Linked DNA regions of Xenopus tropicalis. The protein of the gene in region 2 purifies or fractionates together with the protein of the main gene of each other region. This does not show direct contact. Links are inferred from orthologs where the notes say so. Each region holds a gene or a part of one and is shown on either strand. Other genes may lie near its edges.

What was found. Proteins that work in one complex are often made in the same cells at the same time.
Region 1: the proteins of ofd1 (region 2) and fopnl purify together in Homo sapiens (co-immunoprecipitation; 3 studies listed by BioGRID and IntAct, with this or other methods). This does not show direct contact. The link is inferred for Xenopus tropicalis from reciprocal best matches to the Homo sapiens genes OFD1 and CEP20.

What each region holds. Positions count from the first base shown.
Region 1 is NC_030685.2:33,923,547-33,934,358, forward strand, and holds fopnl (lisH domain-containing protein FOPNL), read left to right. Parts: upstream 1-4,183; 5' UTR 4,184-4,359; coding exon 4,360-4,387; intron 4,388-4,433; exon of another isoform or gene 4,434-4,625; coding exon of another isoform or gene 4,626-4,638; intron 4,639-4,768; coding exon 4,769-4,966; intron 4,967-6,082; coding exon 6,083-6,167; intron 6,168-6,314; coding exon 6,315-6,442; intron 6,443-7,388; coding exon 7,389-7,420; 3' UTR 7,421-7,440; intron 7,441-8,470; coding exon of another isoform or gene 8,471-8,493; 3' UTR 8,494-8,758; downstream 8,759-10,812. UniProt on the Homo sapiens protein: Involved in the biogenesis of cilia. Required for the recruitment of PLK1 to centrosomes and S phase progression.
Region 2 is NC_030678.2:105,736,448-105,746,509, reverse strand, and holds part of ofd1 (oral-facial-digital syndrome 1 protein), read left to right. Parts: intron 1-272; coding exon 273-346; intron 347-1,205; coding exon 1,206-1,297; intron 1,298-1,425; coding exon 1,426-1,615; intron 1,616-1,701; coding exon 1,702-1,832; intron 1,833-3,957; coding exon 3,958-4,069; intron 4,070-4,965; coding exon 4,966-5,610; intron 5,611-5,712; coding exon 5,713-5,857; intron 5,858-8,001; coding exon 8,002-8,093; intron 8,094-10,062. UniProt on the Homo sapiens protein: Component of the centrioles controlling mother and daughter centrioles length. Recruits to the centriole IFT88 and centriole distal appendage-specific proteins including CEP164. Involved in the biogenesis of the cilium, a centriole-associated function.

The DNA of each region.
Region 1 (10,812 bases), on a different chromosome or scaffold from region 2:
ACAGAGGAGTCACTTGTAATGTACATTTTTTTATAGTTTTATTTACTTGACTTTTTATGTTAAAACAAAGAAACAATAAAGAAAGACTAAAGAAAACAAAAAAAGTCTCAAAAGCCTGATTCAAGAGCCTGTTCACAGATTACAGTTTCAGTGAATACACAAATATAGTTACTACAGGGCTGTTATTGTACAGATACCCATACAACCCAGACTACATCATTTTTTTTGGGACACCCTCTGGCTATATAAGTTTACAATATGGGGTACATTATTTGCTATATATCCTTATAATACAAAACCCCCTAAATATTCTTCTTGTAAAGTCTATCTTTTTTAATTGGTCCTTAGTGATGTCATCAATTTCTGTGACAACACTCACTGAAACTTGTGTATTATAAATAAATAATGCACCCCCTGTTGTAAAATATGAGGATATTAGAAATAACCTCAGAGTTCCATGTCCTGTATAAAAGTATAAAAGCATTTTATAAGTTCATGGAACTCCTCTGTGATTTATGGTATCCTTATATTTTACAATAGTGGGTACATTGTTCACTGTATAATATGCTATGTTTCTGAAAAATGTCTACTACCAAAGTGTAGTATAGGGAACGCTAAAATGATGCCATGCAAGGGTATGGCCAGATTTTTATTGTTCTTTACCCCAAGTTAAATAGGGCTGCAACCTTTGTCGGCAACCAAAGCACTGGTTACCAGCCAAAGGGCTGGTGATGTTTAGAGACAGAGCTGTGATGTTGAGGTTGGGGCTATAACATCACATATCACACAGTTTGTTTCTGTTTGTCAGGTGTAACCAAACTGGGCAGGAGGTTTTGAACTAGACAGCCCCTTCAAAAACCATGCAAAAACCGGACAGGTGCTTAAAGTCAAATAATTCTCCATCCACCAGGATCACAGAATTATCTGTTTAAAGAGCCTGGCAAATTGCCATACATGCCCAGAGGATCAGCCAGTACTACCAACATTGGCTAAATTGACTAACAACAAGTGAGAACTGGGAATATTATGGTTAGCTTTATGGCAATTTGTGCTTGATGTGTGTTTTATGGCACTACCAACACTATTACACTATTGCACTATAGCCTGCATTAATAATGTCATATCTAGTCTAACAGAGTTAAAACCAAGAAACATATTCTCACTTTTTATAAAAAATGTCTACAGTGGGGTATGTGGAAAAAAAATGGTTATCTTTTTGTGGTGTAAACAAACATTTTACTTAAACTGAATGCCAATTTTGTCTTAACACCACATTTGCTGATTCCACCCCCCTATGTATCAGCCACATTAAATCTCTGCCTCTGTGAGTTCATAGTTTAATTTAGGGGAAAAGGCACCTAGGATTAAGATACTGAAAAAACTCGAGAAAACACAATTCTAAGGGGCACATTTATCAAAGTAAGATTGAGTCCGAATACAAAAAATTTGTATTGGTTCGTACTGTGCGTATTTTCTGCGATTTTTTCGTACTTTGCGCAACTTTTCAATACTTTGCGACAAAATTTGTGCCACATAAACGTATTGACGCGCCGAGTACAAACGTTTCAGATTCATTCAAGCTTCGGTATCGTGACTTTTCTTGGGCCAGGTTGGAGCTGCAGAGTGCTATTGAGTCCTATGGGAGGCTTCCAAAATCATGTACAGAAGGATCAAAGTCGGAAAGGTTTTTCCGCTGTTTATGATTGTTCGATCCGAAAATTTTGTGACTTTCGGATCGCCAATACGATATTATCGTGACTATTCCGATTTTTTCGTAAGCATTTTCGTGATATTTGCGATCATCAGAAATTGTCATATCTAACCCAAATTTTTCCCATTTCAGGATTCAAACTCGTACTTTGATGAATGTGCCTCTATTAGTTTCTGTGTGTGGTAGTTCTTTTGCCTGTTTATGCCATCTGCACTTCAGCACAATTTGAAATAACTGTGATATTATCTTAAAGGACAAACAACCCCCGAATGCCAATCAGGTCCTAAAAGACTTAAAATAGGACCTGGCATTTTAGATACACGGAGGTCCAAACAGCCCCCACAGGCCCAATAAATAGCAACTGTCTATGCCTCTTTGGCATCTTACCAGAATATACAAAACAGGAAAGTAGCCAGGAACAGTACAGAACTAGTGCCAATGTGTTATTAGCCCCCCCCCCCTCTAGTTAATCCAGTCACTTCGTTTTTTCCCTGGGCTGCATTTGGGCTCCATTTAGGAAGAAAATCCTATCTTACTAACTTAATCTCTAATGCTGACATAGACGTATGCATTAGAGTAAAATCTACATACACAGTTATATAGTTTTCTTAGAACTATGAGGATCATACACTTTTTTTTTAACAAATTTGTCTTATATATATTCCTGATTTTTGTACCAATAAGATCCAAAAAGTCCTTACAGAACCTAATAAATCCTATGTATAACTACATAAATTACTGGGCCCTACTGGAAAACCTGTATAAAGCTCCCAAACCATAAGTAATGTGCTCTAAATGTATATAACAACGTTGTATACTAGTCAATACCTCCACCTGGCACTTTTACTACTATACATGGTATAGTAATAATTCTTTGGTGCTGGGCGTACACCTAGGGGCAGAATAAAAATGGCAAAATATACTATGCTGATAAAAATACAGCACAGTTTTAAAAACTGCAGAGCAGCCTTGGGCAAAAGATTAGCAATTTTTTTTACTCTGGGGTTCCTAACAAATTGGTATCTCCAGTGTTTTTATCTTTCATTTTTTCAAAAATAATATCTCTACTATCTAATACTATCAAATAGTATGCTGTTTTTGTCACAGATTACTGTTTTAATCTGTCTTTCTTTGTTTTATTGGTCAGTGTCTCCTACATATAAGGATAATTACACACAAAAAGGAAAAGGATAGAGATTAAGCAGGTGCTTAAAATGAAGAGATTGATTAATCTGTGCATTTTAGCTGCCAGATTTCATAAATATTTGTTTTTCAGTCTTGCTTTATTTTTGTTTCTTAATCTAACTTCCTTGTGTCATCAGCTTCTGGGAAATATAGTTCAGGTACATCTGGTTTCTGAGTAACAGGTCTGGCTTGGGAAATTAGATACACAGAAAAGTACATCTCCACCTACCAGTCAGTTCATGTATTCTCTGTGGCAATACTTTCTTGTCATATGGAACCATTCCTTATAATATCAGAAAATGCTCAAAGACCATAGCATTTAGAGCTTTGAAAAGAGAAGGGAGAGGTGATATAGTAGAAATATATAGTACAGGTATAGGTTCTATTATCTATAATGGGGGCTCTACCTGAGGCAAGTTGAGATTTTTGCCTCAGGCAGCAGACCCGATAGTCCAGTTTTAATATCAGAATTTTAGCTCTTCTAGTGAAGGGAGCGCAATCACACTCTCTGCAACAGCGATGCAGCCCCTCCTCTGACACTAAAAATTTAAGTGCAGGGAGGATGAGGGGGGCTGCATTGGAAAGCATGCTTTGGGTGGCAGAGGGGCTAGGATCACCACTAATCCTGAATGCTTGAGAAATGGGGGTTTCCAGATACGGGGTCTATTTGTAAATTGGACCATTTAAACATTAAATAAACTCAGGATTGTTTTGCCATCAATATAGATTCATGCAGCTTAGTTACCATCAAGTACAAGGTAAGGTACTCTTACACAGAAAAAGGAAATAATTAAAAAAAAAGAATTATTTGCTAAAAATTGACTTTAGTGTAGTTAAATTGTAATTTAGAGCTTTCTGGATAACAGGTTTCCGGATAAGGGATCCCATTACTGGGATAAGGAAATTAACAGAGCTCAAGTCTACACCTGAGTTCTGTTAATTTCCTTATCCCAGGTATGGGATCCATTTTACGGAAACCTGTAGTATTTTTGGCAGTGCAACATGGCTAGAACTAGGACACGAGCTGCCAACCAACTCCAAGCCATGAGTGAAATTATGATCCAGTCCTTGTTTTTTTAGACTTGACTTCCTCAACACTAAAAGATATTATGAAATAAGCTCTCAAAAAGGCCTGGAGTGGATCATTATCTTCCTGGCATGGGGTTGGAGCTGGAGTTGGTAGAGAAAACAGATTGTCAACAGATAACAACACTGGTCTGGTTCAGCAATTTCACCCACACCCAGCGTGACAAGTCCATACTTTATTTGTGTATTATCCCTTTAAGGCACATTCCGTTTCCGGGTTACACAGCCAGTACGCTTCAGGCGCTGGACAGCACTAGCGAGTCACAGTGAAGCTCCGTTCCCACAACAAAGCGAGTGTAACCCTGACCGAAGCCTGGGGAGCTGCGCATGCGTGCGAGGGGCAGGAGAGGCGGAGTTTTACACAGCCGTTGAGAACGATGGCTTCTGTAGGAGATCTTAAAGCGGGTGAGTTTGTGGTTCATAGCTCAGTTTGATTCTCTGTGTATTACTGTGCACTAGTCCTGCAGAACGGTGCTTGTATATATCAGTAATGGACTGACTACATTCTGACTATACTGACTATATCTTCTTACTGTAGCCAGGATTCTGGGAGTTGTAGTTCATCAGTATCGTCTAACTCTAAACCATTATGCCCAAGTAAAAGAGCGATAATATATATCATTTGTATGGAAGGCTTGTGATCATGGGAAATCTTGGTAAAGAAGTAGAGGGCTAATTCAGTGGCACTAGGGCAGTGGGATTCTCCCTAATAACCTGATATTGAAGAATATCTATTAACTTTACTCATTAACTTTAGATTCACAGTGCCATTGTTTCTTTCTGCAGTTGTGAAGGATACTCTGGAGAAGAGAGGAGTTATGGGGCAGCTAAAGGCCAGAGTTCGAGCAGAGGTGTTTGAAGCATTGGATGATCGCAGTGAACCCAAACCAGTTCTGTCCCCTGAAAATCTACTCATCAATGAACTGATTAGAGAATATCTGGCATTCAACAAGTATAGATACACAGCATCAGTCCTAACTGCCGGTAATGTGATCCAGGGGTGCCCAGCAATGCTAGCTGGCTGATTGTCACACTGACAGGTGTGCTGTATTTCAGTGCCTTACTGACTGTGCTGTTAGAAACGCTATTACCCACAGGAGCTTATTTATAAGCACTGGACAAGTTTTCCCCTGGGCAGTAATCCATAGCAACCAACTAGTGGTTAGATTTTTCCAGTCAGCTGCAGGTTGAACAATAAAAGCAAGAATCTGTTGCCATGAGTTTCAGCCCAGGTGCAGCTTTATCCAGTGTTTTTAAATGACTCCCACATGTCCTTAGAGAAGATATGTCCAAATTATTGCAGATGAGCTGTAGTTTCTACATCCTTGTCATCTGTTGTGCTGAGCCTTCCTTACAACATAGACCGCTATACCTCTGTATTAATCATTTGGCTGCAGTCAAATACTTGCTCCAGCCAAGCCTTTTATAGGACAAGGTTTGTGATGATTAAGCTGAGCGCTAGACAAAATAGTACCTATCGGAGTATCCCTTCGTAATAAGTGTAAATATATCTGGGCGTTGTTTTTTATCAGCTTATATCTAGAATTTCTTTTTTTTTTTTTTTTTTTTTTTTTAAATCTGTTGAAAAAGTTGTACAGGCATAGGATGCTTTATCCAGAAAGCTCTGAATTACAGGAAGGCCAAACAATTAAATAAGCCCTAGGACCAAACAATTGAATTAGCCTGATATCACCCACCTTAGGTGGGCATATCGGGGGAAGTTCTGCTCGTTTAGCTACCTCACAATGTGTATGGCACCTTACTAGAGATCTGGGCTGACAAATGTTCTTTTTTGATGAGCATGTTAGGTTATTAGCCATTCTTGTAACATATAGGCCACACACTGCACTTTGATTAAGGGATATGGTTAATCATTGCATGGGCCAGTGAGTCACATGCATATCATTTGGCCATCCTCCCTCATGGCTAACTTGCACTAAAATCCATTTGATCATCCCTTTAACCCTTATTCTCTGGCATCCTTGTTTATCTGTTCTGTTCTTTTTTCCTGTCTTGCACTTTTGGTTCCCCATTCTCTTTCTCTTTTGTTGTCACATTCTCTAAAGAGCTTACTGCTAAATTCTTTATTTTCTTTTACAGAAACTGGCCTTTCAGACATTCCACTTGATCGTTCATTCCTCACTAAAGAGCTTAATGTTGTTGACGATATGAACTCCCAGTCAGTGTAAGGCTTTGAAACAAGAATTTTGGTGCTAAATTTATTTAGCAATATTAAGTTGCTGTGCAAATGACATAAGAGCAACCTCATATTATTTCTTACAGTCTTGATAATTTCTGATGTGGAATTTCACCCTTAAATTTGTTACAACAGACCAATTCTCTATGGGATCCTTTCTCACTTTTTAAAAGAACATGAAGAGGGACCGTGCCAGAGAGTAGAGAATGTGTCAGCAGAAAAGCAAACATTTAGAAACATTCTGCGAGGCAGAAATACAAAAGGTAAAATGACTATATTTGGATTTTTGTCTTGAGTTTCTGCCATAAACTTTTGATACTGGTAGACTACTGTTTAGACCAGGGTTGGCCAATACGTCGATCACGGTCCACTAGTCGATCCCCCGTGGATCACTGGTGGACTGCGATGAAGCCGGGGATGCGGAAGTGCTGTGTGAATGCGTACGTATGCTGCGTCAAGTACATACGCATTCACGCCGCACTTCCGCATTCCCTGATCATAAGTCGACCACAGGATGGGAAAGTATAGCAACCCCTGGTTTAGACAGTTACTTAAAAAATAACCATTTTAGTTGGGTAGAGAACCTCAGGAATATGATGATTTCTCTTTAAAACAGCCCTGTTTTGGGGGCATTGAGAGCAACAGCCAAGGGGTTGGTGAGCAACATGTTGCCCGGAGCCACTGGTTGGGGATAACTGCATTACCACATAGCAACTGTGCAATGGGTGCATATAGCCAGTAGAGGGAGCCCTTATTTTGAGAATTCAGTTTGGTACTCCAGTCTAAAAATCCCAGTTTCACTGGCTATTAACATTTATTTGTGCACAGTTTTCAATAGCCCAGATACATGCTACAATGCAGACTGTGCTTCAAAGACCCAGACATCCCAAATAACTATCTATGAGGTTGTATAATGTATAATTTTATCTTGGTATAGCTGCAAGTACTGTTTTATTGTTTATATAAAGTCTACTTTCACACTTATAGCTACTCTATATAGCATGTCAAGCCTTTTCTGTTTTCTTACCTTTGTTTGGAGAACTGACAATTGTCAGGTACAGGTACAGATATCTAGGTATCCCACCACCATGGAAAATATTGTAGGTATAGATACAGCTGCAAGCAGTGGATGTCTGTTTTATAGTACACGTAAATACTTTTGTGGTTATTACTGACCGATTATTTATTTGGTTCCTATGTCAATGGCAGCTTCCTGTTTGCACCAGATTAAAGGACAATGAAAGCTTAATATAAATTAAAAGTAAGTCTAAAGGCATTCTTTTTAAGTACTTACTGCATATCTAAATTCCCAGATCCCTGCTTGCTTCTCTGAGATATGGTGCTGGCAGCCTACAGCAGTGTGAAGACTACAGTGACATCACTGAAATCTCTCTCCCCTTCCTGTAGGCTGCCAGCGGCAGCCTTCCTATTCTCTGAGCATGTGTGTAACTTGATCCTGTCTCCTGTTCTGAGCTACACATGCCCACCAGCCAATCAGAAGCAGATCTGGCAGAGGGGAGGGGGGGGAGGGAATGAAACACATGTGCAGTATGAAGCAAGGAGGGAAAGGAAGGGAGAATACCTTTTTAGAGATGGCTGCCTGTTCTAGAAAATGTGAAGTAAGACTGAGTAAATATCTGATTAGGTGAGCCAAAAGTGTGGCGTTTTTACTAAACAATAGGAGGACTATTCGGCAGTATGCTTTTTAAATGTTGACTTGCATTCTCCTTTAAAGTGTTGTATAAAGCTATAAATACATATTACCTTAATTCTATATATATACTTTTGCATAATGGCTCTCCCTTCTTAGGGCTTTAGCATATGCATTGATTTCAGCAACAAAACATAGCTGTGGTCACTTCCGTAGAAAAGGTATATGAATTGGTTATGGTAGACACATTATGTATTATGTATGAATTTAATATAGGTTTAACCCTGGCAAATGTTTTCTTCAGATGCAAAAACAAGTTGAGCAGATGCTTTCAATATATCAAGTGTAGGGCTGTATAGATTTCGGCACACTCCCACGCAAGGAAAAATGTCACTTGCTGGAATGAGGATAGTTTCTTTTATATTCAAAGGTAATCTTATTAAATAAGCAACTGGGTAAAATTAATTATTTTTAACTATCTCTTTAATAAAATTACTGCTATTATTCCAATTAAAGCTAAATTGTATCATTATTCCATTAAAGGGCATTAGCAAAGGAGATTTATAGCAGTGCACTGTAATGGAAACATTTTGAATAATCATTATCTTCCTACATTAACTACCATATTCCACTTTTCCAGATCATCCAGGCCCGTGCAGTTAACACAAACAAGCACTGAAGATCGGCATCAGCGAAGGCGCAGATAATTGCTTGTGAAGTATTCCAGAGGGATGACAGTTCGTTTACTCTATAAAGTTTTCTGCATTACAGACATCGTGGGCTTATCTCTCCTAAACAAATGTTTTTAGACACTTTAGGGAGAGAGTTTTTTTTAGACAAAGCTGCTATATTTATTATATTGTAACCATATTGGACAAGTTTATTTTGTAACAATGCAAATAAAAATGCACAGTGTACATTATTTATATTCCTGATATATTTATATGTTCATCCACATGTAGTCAACTATTGAAACAGACTGTTGCTAGCTTTTATTATGGTGTCCTCTTTAATATGACAGACTGCTCTACATTTTTCTGGGGCACATACCAAGCTTTCCTATCCTCAGAATATTATAATTTAAGCTAAAGATGACAGGATGACTCTGGGATGTTGTAAGGACAATTAAGAGCCCAAGCAAAGAAAGAGTATCTTTGTAGTGAGGTAACCAAGCAGATTTAGGCTTATGTAACAAAGGGAGGCTTATTACAGGCTAGAAATATGTTCCTTGTTCATTGATATGGGGCTACAGTATCTGCAACTTGTGCTTACTAATCTGTTTTGTTTTAATTCATTTATATACTCCAGCACCTCACATTAACATTTGTGGGACTGTGATGGCAGCACTGGTTATGCTAATGTGGGTCAGATTCAATTACTGCTTAGGGGTTGTTCACCTTTAAATTATCTTTAAGTATGATGTTGGCAATGATATTCTGGGACAATTTGCAACTGGTTTTCAATTTTTACTATTTGTGGTCAGTGATCCCCGTTTGAAGGCTGGAAAGATGTGGAAGAGTAAGGCAAATAATTCCATAACTATAAAAAAGAAATGATAAAAAACAAGTTGCTAAGAATAGAACATTCAATAGAGTCCAAAGAGAATGCAAATGGTGAAAAATGTTCAATTTCCGTGTTAATGTGACGAAAAGCGACGTGATTTTAAGAATTCAGTTCAGCCAGGCACGTGGATTCGGCCAAATCCTAATCCTGCTGAAAAAGGCCAGATCCCAAACCAAATCCTGGATTCGATGCATCCCAGTTTTTCCTTTGCCTTTATTGCTGATGTCAGGATGCAACAACTTAGGGCATTTTGTGGCTAGTGATTATATTACATAACTGCTTACCCCACCATCCATAGTTACTTAGGGATTAAAAAAAGACCAGAGTCCATGAAGTTCAACCCTTCCAAGTGAACCCAGCACACGCAAACCCATACTGACCTATTTATACACTCACATACATAAACTATATATACCAACATTAATACTAACTGTAGATTTTAGTATCACAATAGCCTTGGATACTACGGTATGCTTGTTCAAGAATTCATCCAAGCCCCTCTTAAAGATGTGCTTCAGATCCACACCAGTTAAGCCATATGTATACAAGAAAGTTATATTAGTGTGTAATAACAATACATGTATGGGACCTGTTATCCAGAATGCTGGGATCTAAGGTCTGGATAGGGGGCTTTCCATAATTTAAACCCCAGCAGGACTGTATTGCTTCAAATAAGGATTTATAAGAGCTTAGTTGGGATCAAAGTACAGGTATGGGATCCCTTATCCAGAAACCCGTTATCCAGAAAGTTCCAAATTATGGAAAGACCATCTCCCATAGAATCCATTATAAACAAATAACTGATTTTTTAAAGCGATTTCCTTTTTTCCTGTAATAATAAAACAGTACCATGTACTTGATCCCAACTAAGATATAATTAATCTTTATTGGAGGCAAAACAAGCTTATTGGGTTTATTCAATAGTTACATGATTTTTAGCAAACTTAAGTTATGGAGATCCAAATTATGGAAAGATCCCTTATACAGAAAACCCCAGGTCCCATACCTATACAAGGTACTGTTTCATTATTAGAACAAAAGAAAATAGTTATAAAAATGTGAATTCCTTGTTGTTGGATAGAGGATCCCGTACTTATATAACAGTATACAATTATTTAGATTGATATAGCATTTTACATAAATCCATTTACCTGCTGTATGCTGCTAAGCAGGTTTACCCAAACTGGGGCTCTGTTGCTGATGTGCACATCTTCCAGCATCATCTTAATATTAGCGATGAGTTAATCTGACCCATTCCTCTGAAAAAAACATGAAATAGCAAAAAGTCGATGGGTGGTTATTCACGCAACATTTTTTCACTCGCAGCTATTTTTTTTACCCATTGGAGTCTATGGGTGTTTTTTTGTGGTGAAACATGGTGATAATCTTACTCATAACTACTTAATAGCATTTAATGTA
Region 2 (10,062 bases):
ATACTGTATATGTATTTTGTGGTCACAGCCTCATTGCACCCCTGCCTAATGGTTTACAATTTAGTGGTTGAGCACAACTTTCCCTTTTTCTTGTGTTATTGTTTACTTTTAGTTTCAGATCTTGCCCTGTTTAGTACAAGAAATGATAATAATTATTGGAATTTCATTAAAATAGGACAAAAGTATATTTGTTAAACTACTAAAAAATTATGTATACTTCCTCCTTAATCACATGCTTATTTATTCATTGGTTTGTATTGTCCCTTGCATAGGCATCAAATTGAGTTAAATGAAGAATATATAAAAAGAACAAAGAAAGTAAGTGAAGATGAAAGAAGAAATAAAGGTTAGTAGAACCACAATCAGCATGTGTTTGCCCACCCAATCCCTTTCCTATAGTTACATCAGACTCTAGCACCAGCGCTGGCAAATTGCGCCATTTGTGTACCAATGATCACTGTTTTTGCTAGATTCCCCAACTTTTTATATATTAACTAGAACATATAGTTAACAAAATGGAAGGGTCCTCCAGTGGTGATGCAAGAGGTTTAAGTTTATAAAAGTGATTTTTCATAACCATCTAGGAAAAGGTTTCAAACTTAGTAGTTTATTTTAAAAGGTGTATAAAATGATTTAATCTTTAAAGAAATAAAAAAGTGATTGAAATTAAATGGGAATCACCTGGCAAACTTTAGAGAACCCATCCCCTACTCTTTGGCATATCTCTTATTTCTATTTCTACGTTCATTTAGGTTATGCAGAGAACTGTTAAAGATGTTCCATTTACAATTATAGGAACCTTTGGAGCTTTGTAATGTGCAAGCCTTTTTCCCTCAGCCTTGCATCATGTGACAGAACAAGTTCATATAGGAAGATGCTTATAGATAGACATTGATTAGTTCTGTGGATAATAGGTTTCCTATAAGCAGTCTCTAATTGGATTAAAAAGATTGGATTGGAATATTTTTTGAATTACATATATTTTAAAGTCATTATAGGCTTTGGTAACAATATAAAGTCACCAAATTACCCACAGGTTGGGCAAAACTACTTCATTAAAACAAACCATTCATGTGTTTAATACCTTATATGACTGCAAAAGTGCATGTACATTTTTTTAAGTTGTTATGTGAAGCTGTTGATGATCCAAAACTGGGAACATTTATAAGATGGGCACTGGACATTTTCTGTGTTTTTCTTTCTAGAGGAAGCATCAAAATTACGTGAAGAGGCTGTTGTAATTAATATGAAAAAGCATGAGTCAGAACAAGCAATGACTCGTATAAAGGAACTGGAGGTAAGAATTTTTACATTTATGTCAGTGATTAAGGGATAACATGTCTTCTGCACCAACACAACACAAAAACTAACTGGTGCAAAATGAAATAAGCATTCTAATTATAAAATCTCTCTCTCTAATTTCAGATAGAGGTAGATTCTCTGAGAGCACAAATGTCTCTTGTAACAAGACAGAATCACCACTTAACTGACAAGCTGAAAGAAACCGTAGATTATCCCTTGGTACATGAAGAAAAGCTTAAACTTCAAGGAGAAGTAAAGATACTTAAGCAACAACTGGATGAAATACACAAGGATAATCAGATCCTTAGAGAAAGTGAGTTAGTGTTGCTCTGAGTTGTAACAAAATGCTCTTACCCTGATTTGTAAAAAAAAAAAAAATATATGTATATCCTATTTCAGGAAATCTACATCCAAGTCCTGAGTATTTGGTTCTTCAAGAAGAATTGAAGAGAATGGAAAGTGCAAGAAAGATGGACCAAGAGGAATTTAAATCACAAAAAGAAATCTTGGAAACACAACTGCACAGTGAGGTAAGCTCTCTATCTCTATCATCATGTAGCACTGTATTATTAGTACAAATCCTTTTGGATCTTGCTGATTTACAGTGTCTCTTGCCATGCATACCTAAGGTCAAATATTACAATATCCAACCTATAACACCTATACATTAGGGTTCACTGATTCCAAGATTTTCACAAAGAAAAAAAAAGCCTTTGCTGCTAAAGTCTCCACTACCCTTGCAGCATAATTTCATAACTTACCAGTTTCCCTTGGAAATACTTTATTCAATCTTCTCTACTCATAATAGTATTTGACATAGCTCTACAGTGCTACTGTGGTTCATCACATGGTATCTGCTGCTCAATGCAAGGCCCCATGCAGTACATTGCAGCATAGCTACCATGCCAATGCAATAAGGTACTTAGCACAAGTTACATAGCCTCCAGTTTCATTCATTAGAATAGTTATAAATAAGTGTTCCCACCCACATTTATCACAATTTGCTGAACTTAATACAATTTTAATTTGTATTGACCCAGATCACTGCACTACATTTTTTACAGTGTCAAAACAGGACAACAAAATGTCTACTAATTGCATGTTCTTAACATTCTAATACTAAATACACATAACCATGCATTTGCCAATATTGGTATTTTGCATGACTTTGCTAAAAGTTAAATAATGTATACTGTGACCACATAGACACTGTGGCATTATGTTTACTCTGATCAGAAATCCATTTTAAGAGTCACTTAATACCTTGTGTCCTTAAAACTTTTTACCATATCGACTCAAGAACATAGCAATATTTTGAAATAAGTGAAAGTATGTTGGTAATGCATGTACTGAAGAATACTAGGACATTTTATTTACAATGCTTAGCTCTGTGCCCAGTTTCATATCACCCAGTTTTATTTTCAGCGTGCTTGAAGTTAATGTGGCCACAGTGTAACTGGACAGTTCTTGGCTTGTTTCTCACCATATTTGCCTTTACCTTATTTTTGAATTTCTGGCTTGGAGGCAAGTTTTGGTTGCAGAAAACCCAGTGTTATGCCATCAGAGCCTTCTGTAGACTGCCAATCCATAGAGGGGTTACCAAATAGCCAATCATGGCTCTACTTTGGCAACTTTGTGTTGCTTCCCAGCACTTTTTCCATTTGAATGTGGCTCATGGGTATAAAGGGTTGAGGACCTCTGATCTAGGGGTAATGTTAAGTAACTTCACAAAAAAATTAAGGGTCACAATCCACGCTTAATAAATGGGCCCCCCTTTAAGAGCACTTTTTAAAAATGCTAGAGTAATCCCCAATAAGCATCTCCAAGCCACATAAATTAACAAAAATACTGACACAGAACAACTATTCGTACAAAATAAATATGTTTTGCTTATTATATAAAAAAAAATTATTACTCTCAACATTACAAGTTTAATTTTAATTAAAGTAACTGGCAAAAATGTGGTACAGTTATGGGACCTGTTATCTAGAATGCTCATCACCTTGGGTTTTCTAGATAAGGGATCTTTCCGTTATTTGGATCTCCATAACTTAAGTCTGCTAAAAATGACTTAAATATTAAGAATATACCCAACAGGCTTGTTTTGCCTTCAATAAGAATTCATTATATCTTGTTATTATTACAGAGAAAAAGGAAATCATTTTTAAAAATTAGAATTATTTGGTTATAATACCCAAAAGAGCTTACAATCTACAAGGAGAAAGGGTTGAGACACAATGTGTGGGAAATGTATATTGTTATACATCTTAACCTATTCACCCTACCTGTAACAGAGTAGTTTCCAACATATTTGTAAAACTGTAACATCATCAATCATTTTGTGTGACAGTAGAACACAAATTCAATATATCTTAATGATTAATTCAAAGTAAATGGATTGATTGAGCCTATTAACAGATCTCAAAATATAAAGAAGAACTGAGCTAATGTGTTTTTTTTTGGTGTTTTGCCTCCAATAACGATTAATTTTATCTTATTTAGGATTAAGTACAAGGTACTGTTTTATTATTACAGAGAAAAGGGAAAACAGTTTAAAAATGTTAATTATTTGATTAAACGTTATACCTGTAAATAGTTACATAACATCCTGAAATGCTGATGTAATGTTGTATTTTGGCCCTGTTCCCTGTGTAGGTTAAGCGGAGTGCTGAATTGAAGGCCCAGCTTTTAAACAATGAAGATTCAGCACAAAAATTGAACTCAAAGGTTGAGCACCTCGAATTTCAGCTTCGACAAGCGCAGCTCGGTTTGTCAATTTCCTTTTTTATTATGTTTTAATTGCAATATATGCACATGAATTTGAAGCAGAAATATATATAGTCTGGAAACGCTTAGTTTTTATATCGTGTTTTTTTTAAACGCAGAATTTTCCTAGGCAAAAAATAAATGACATTGTGAGGAAGCTGGCAAGAACATTTAGCACTCAACTGGATTAAATTAATTTATTACTATGTTGTACAGCAATCATCTTTCAAACACAGCTTTATTACTCTCTTGAGAAAAACTGACTGCAAAAGGACTTCTCATATTCCGTTAGTGATGCAGACTAGGAAATGAAATTGAAGTCCCAGAACAGCTGAAGGAACAAAGCAAACCAAAAATCTATACTTTTATAGGAGCATTTTGAGTTGTATTTATAAGTGGCCTATAAAATGTGCATTTTGTAAATAACATACATATATTTCATTCAAAATGTATGTTTTATTATCCAGTTTAAATGTAGTTGCAATTTAAAAACCATATTTTTCTGTCCATTTCTGCACTGTTGTTTCAGTCTCTTGAAACAATATAACAGAAGTCAGACTTGAATACTTCTTCAAAGGTCTGTGAAAGAGCAACTTTGTTTCAAAAGTCAAATCCATGATGGTTGAGAATAAAATCAATTATCAGATACAAAGACATAAATAACTTTAAAACCAGTGAAAACTTGCAATGTAAAATTTATATTGCAAAGTAGCTAAGAATTACAATTTTCTTAAATTAGGCAAGTTTTTGGGTGGGGGACCACTTTAAAATGAGAGTGTGGGTTGGGTCTGGTAGCTGGGATGTATTTTGTTACAAAAAAAGCAAATGTAATCAGCTTCAGCTGTTCCCAATTTAATTTTATATACTTTCCTTTCTGTGTGATTCTTGCTTGCCCAGCTCTGGAAAATGAAGTGTATCGCAACCCAAAGCCATCCCTGGTTGATCGCTCTGTGCTGGACTTCACTGCAGACAAGATTGTGCCTCCTGATATTTATGTTGATAAAGCTGTTCTGAAAAGCCATCGTTCCTATGATACCTTTGTTGAAGCATGTGGCAGGTCAAGTCCAATGTATTGCCATACGACAAGGCCTCGCAGCAGCTCCCCAGATTCTGATTTTGAATTTGTAGCAAATACCAAGGCCCGAATCAAAGAACTTGAAAAGGAGGCAGAATATTTAGAGGAAGCCTACCGTAAATATCAGAACAGAATCAGTGAGGGCGCTACCATTGAAGGTATACATTTGACTACTGTTTCTAAAGAGAGCAGCCTTTTGAGTACTGTTCCAAAAACAAAAAGATCCGTTAAAATCTTGACAGATGTTTCTCATCAGAAAGTTGCCTTTTTAGAAGATAATCTCACACCAGATCATCAGAGCCTTCTAAACAGATTAAAGTTAAGACACAAAGAAGAAAATCCTTCTGAGACTACACCTGAGATTACACCTCCAAGAGCAAAAATCTCATCTGCAAGAAGGTTATCCTCAACTCCAATATCTAAACATGACCAGAACTCAAGTGAAAGGCAAAGCATTTTAGCAGAAGGTGAGACAGTCGCTTTACATATAACACAAAATGTAGTATTTATAATTTGACTATTCTCTGCTGTCCTTGGACTGAACTTTTTTACGTTTCATATTGTTATAGCAGACCATGAAGACTCTATTGTTTCATCATCTCAACAAAGCCCTAAGCAACGGCTGTCTCCTATACCAAAAAATGAGCATGTTTCATCAATCAATTGTGATGTTCCTGATATTCCAGTGGACGCAGAAAAAGATTACAGTTACAAGTAAGAAAACACATTACTTTTGTGCAGATCCTTTCAGTGTCATCTCTAGCATTTGTCATATATATCTTAACTTAATCTCATCATCTCCAATGTACTTTACCCATAACACAATGAAAATAAGCTTAAAAAGCGGGATAATAAAGACAACTAGCACCAGCTGAAAAAGAAAAAGCAAACCACCTTTAGCATAAAAATAAGCTTTGGTGTGCACGGTTAATTCATACAAAAGCATTAATATTTTTGAGAAATGGTTATTCACATACAATCATTTTGACATACTAGTTTTTATCACAAATGTTTTCAAATCGATTAGAATTAGAGGTCTGTCATTCCAAAGCAGGGATTTTACCATTTAAAAGCTTACAACTTTCCTGCTGCAGATATCTGGTAAATCTGGAATTGACCTGTTGCTGTTTACCGAACAAAAACTCGTGGTTGAATGTAACAGGGTAACAGGGATAGCACTTCTGGTGCCAGAACCGCTTTGTAACCTCATATATACTTTTTTTATTGTGGCTTTTGCTTTAGTTGTAGGAGTGCATTCTTATAAACAAAATACCATGTGCATAAGTGGTAAAAATATATTCAAACAAATAAAGTATTCGGTAACTCAAAACCAGTCCATAAAAATATAAATGTAGATAAATCTCCATGTTAAAGAGAAAATCTGGAAACACCATGGGGTCTGTATGTGTATTTTCTTTTAAACATGGAGCTTTAAATACATTTATATTTCTATTGACTGATTTTGAGTTATGGCATACATTTCTACATATATCCCCAATAATAAGTAAATGGCGTTTGTTAAAAATATATGCATAAAATACAAGACTATCATAGGTCTACTGAAAAATCTATCTAAAAATTGGATCTTGGTGTAATTATTGTTGAAGTCTCGAATTAGACTTAAGAACAACATATACTGTTTAAATAAGTTCTCTGCAAAGTCCTATCAAAATAATGCTCTCAAGGGCTCATGGTCTGTGTTACCTCTGAACTCCTTTCATTGTGCAAAAATCTTTTGTGCACCCTTTAAAAAACTTTTCTTAGAAGACAGTGAGTATAAATAAGTACTAAATTATGTGTAGTCACACAAAATACTCTGTGTGCACCACAGTTGGTTTTATGTGCTAGCCTCATATTTTGAGTGTGTACAAGAGCACATGGGCAAGTGTATGTTGTAAAGTTTGTCTCTAGTTTATAGGGCCATATTAAGACTATATGGACACACATTCATTTTCACATAACAGATAATAAATGTCACGTCTAATTTAGTCCACCTCATTGTCCCTCTTCCTGGTCTTCATGATTACAGTATATTGTAACTATAAAAAATATTGCCTGTGCTTTTTTTTTAAACTTTAGACTTTTAGTCAGATTTATTATCCTTTCAACAAATAAACAGCTTGCCAGGTTTTATTTTTCAAAAGAACATACTCATTGAAAAAAGTGCAAGAAACCACAAGCAAGATCTCCTGCAGTTTCTTATGATGATAACTATAAACCTGAGGATTGAAGGATCATAAATCTGCTCCATAGGGGTATATTTATCATGCTGTGTAAAAAGTGGAGTGAAGCATTACCAGTGACGTTGCCCAGGGTAACCAATCAGAAATTAGATTTCAACAGTTAAAAAACCAAAGCAAAGCAGCTTATTGGCTGCTATGAGCAACATCACCGGTGATGTTTTACTCCACTTTTTACACAGAATGATAAATATACCCCTTAATGTACAGTGTTTGTTGCACAAAGCAAACAAGGTAAAGAGCAAGGAAAGAGCAGATAAAACAACTCACTGCTTGGGAAATAACAAGCATTAAGTAACTTTATATCAACATCTCCTATGCCAGTTCCCTTTTGCAAAAGGTTTGCTGTTAATTTCAAAAAAGGTCCATTCAGTAGTCATTTTTAGAATGCAGTGCAATACACAAAGCAGTATGAGTGAGGCTGCGGAATTGTTAATAATTGAGTTACCATGGAGCAAAAGTGATTGTTAATAATGAATAATGAGCCGTTACCAAGGATACATTTATACTTTGCAACAGACTTTTAATGCAAAATAGGTAGAAGGTAAGGTAAAGTCCTAACTGGGTACCTCTGTTTAATACAATGTACTCTAATGCTAAAATGTTTAATTTCTCCAGGCAAGATGTCAGTTGTCATGAAGTATCCAACCATGCAGAGCCACAAAAGCTATATTTTGATGACCTTAATAGCACTAATTCTTCTTTAAAAGGTAAGAGGATTTCGGCTAAATTGATATAACTAAAGAACTTCACATAAAGCAATTGTGGTTTGCTGAATAACTCATTTGAGACCTGGGAGATACTGCACTTGGAAACTCGGATTGTGTAAAAATAAACCTCCATTGCAATAGAATCAATTTTTTCCTGTTTAAAACACATTACATGTAAGCACAATCATGAGACCATTTTTCACTAGAATGTTATTCTCTTGTTTATTACTTATTGCATCAACTTTCTCTTTCGCTGCAACATTTCCATAGACCGCTACAGATCTATTAGTTCATATAAAAAGCCACAGTAATTGCAGATGAATATTTTGAAATAAAACTAGCACATAGAGAAAGAGCCTATAATTATGTATTTTTAAAATGCCTTATTGTCTCCTATTAGCTGTTTACTGTTCTAAGTTTCTGGAAAAGAATGTAGGGTCTGGACGGAATTGGTGCCTCTTTATAGACTGTCGTCTTCCAGAGATTTGTGGCTTTGCCTCAGCTTTTCACATCAAGCCAGTAATTAACTGTTAGAGACAGTCACGTAACGCATAAGAAATGTCATAACATTGTTCCGAGTGTCGTTGCTTTTCCTGATAAATATTTGGATATATCCCCTGTGTTGTGAAATATACCAGAGAAAAGTGACTAGTTAGCTTTAGATATTATGAATATTTAAAATCAGTGAGCCTTACAACTGGCTAAGTACTATTAAATTGCAATTATAAATGGTATATTGTTTTCTAAATATAAACTTGATCACCAAAAACAAAACTAAGGAATTAATTTATATGCTTGTGGTTATGCAGGTTAAGTAAAGATTTCTACTTTCATGAAAAGAACCTAAGACCTAAGTTATGAAGATAATAAAATTCATTATACACATGTCAGTTATGATGAGGCCCAGAAAGGCTAGTTATGTCTGTAGGGTATATTTTATGATACTGCATATAAACTTGCATTTTCAAGCCCAATAGGGGTCTCTGGTGTCAATGAACTCTGAAAATGTCCAGAAACATTGGTGCAATACAGTATCTAAGTAATGGCTTACATCAGTCTAAGAACATATTTCCCATGTGTAGAATTTTGGGAAAGAGCATAGGAACAAGAAGGCTACTGTAAAATATTCCTCATTGTATATTATATGTATTATTTCATTTACATTGTTCAAGAGAACTTAGCAAGCATTCATGTCTGGTTATGATATTGGCAGGGCCTCCATTAGGGGGACACTTATCCAGGTTCTGGTGGATTTTGGGTATTCAGGGGGCCTGGCTATGCTACGCTGACTAGAATTAGCGGTCCCCCTGCTTTCAGCGAACTGCAGACTTGGAAAGGGAGGGCAGGAGTTCGGGTGCATCTTCTTTCCCCTACACAGCTTGAAGTACTGCTCATTTGTCACTAAAGTTTGTCTGTGACTTTTAAGAATCTTCAGCCCCTAGACTATCTAATGTCCAATGTCTGTGTTCTTGTAGGTGTTAAGCATTGGCTCCACTGCTCTCAGCTTGTATTTTTTTGCAGGCTCTTAAGAGAAGCGATCTGCTCCTTTTAAGTCCCAGTAAAACTGCAACAAGTACAGCTTCTGTATAAAATGGATCAGCTTTAAAATGCAAAACAGGCATTTTTGGCCTGATCCCCCACTCAGCTCTGCTTTGAGCAGAGGCGAAAGCTGATCTAGTCAGTGCAGTTTTACTGAGGTGCATAAGGAAGTGTATCCGCTTATCTCAGCCTGCTAAAAAAAACGCAAGCTGAGAACAATGGAGCTAAAACTCTGTGTCCTCAGCCTTAAATGTAATTTATTGAATCTATGTTAGGCGCAGTAGGCACAGAGGTGCTAGTTTTGAGGCTGCATGTGGGTGGAGGGTTATAATGGTAGAATCAGTTTTTGAGGTAATTAAGACTTCCTGTTACATATGGATTTGTTAAATTGGTCATATTAGCTGATATTAGTTGATATTGGGTACACTGG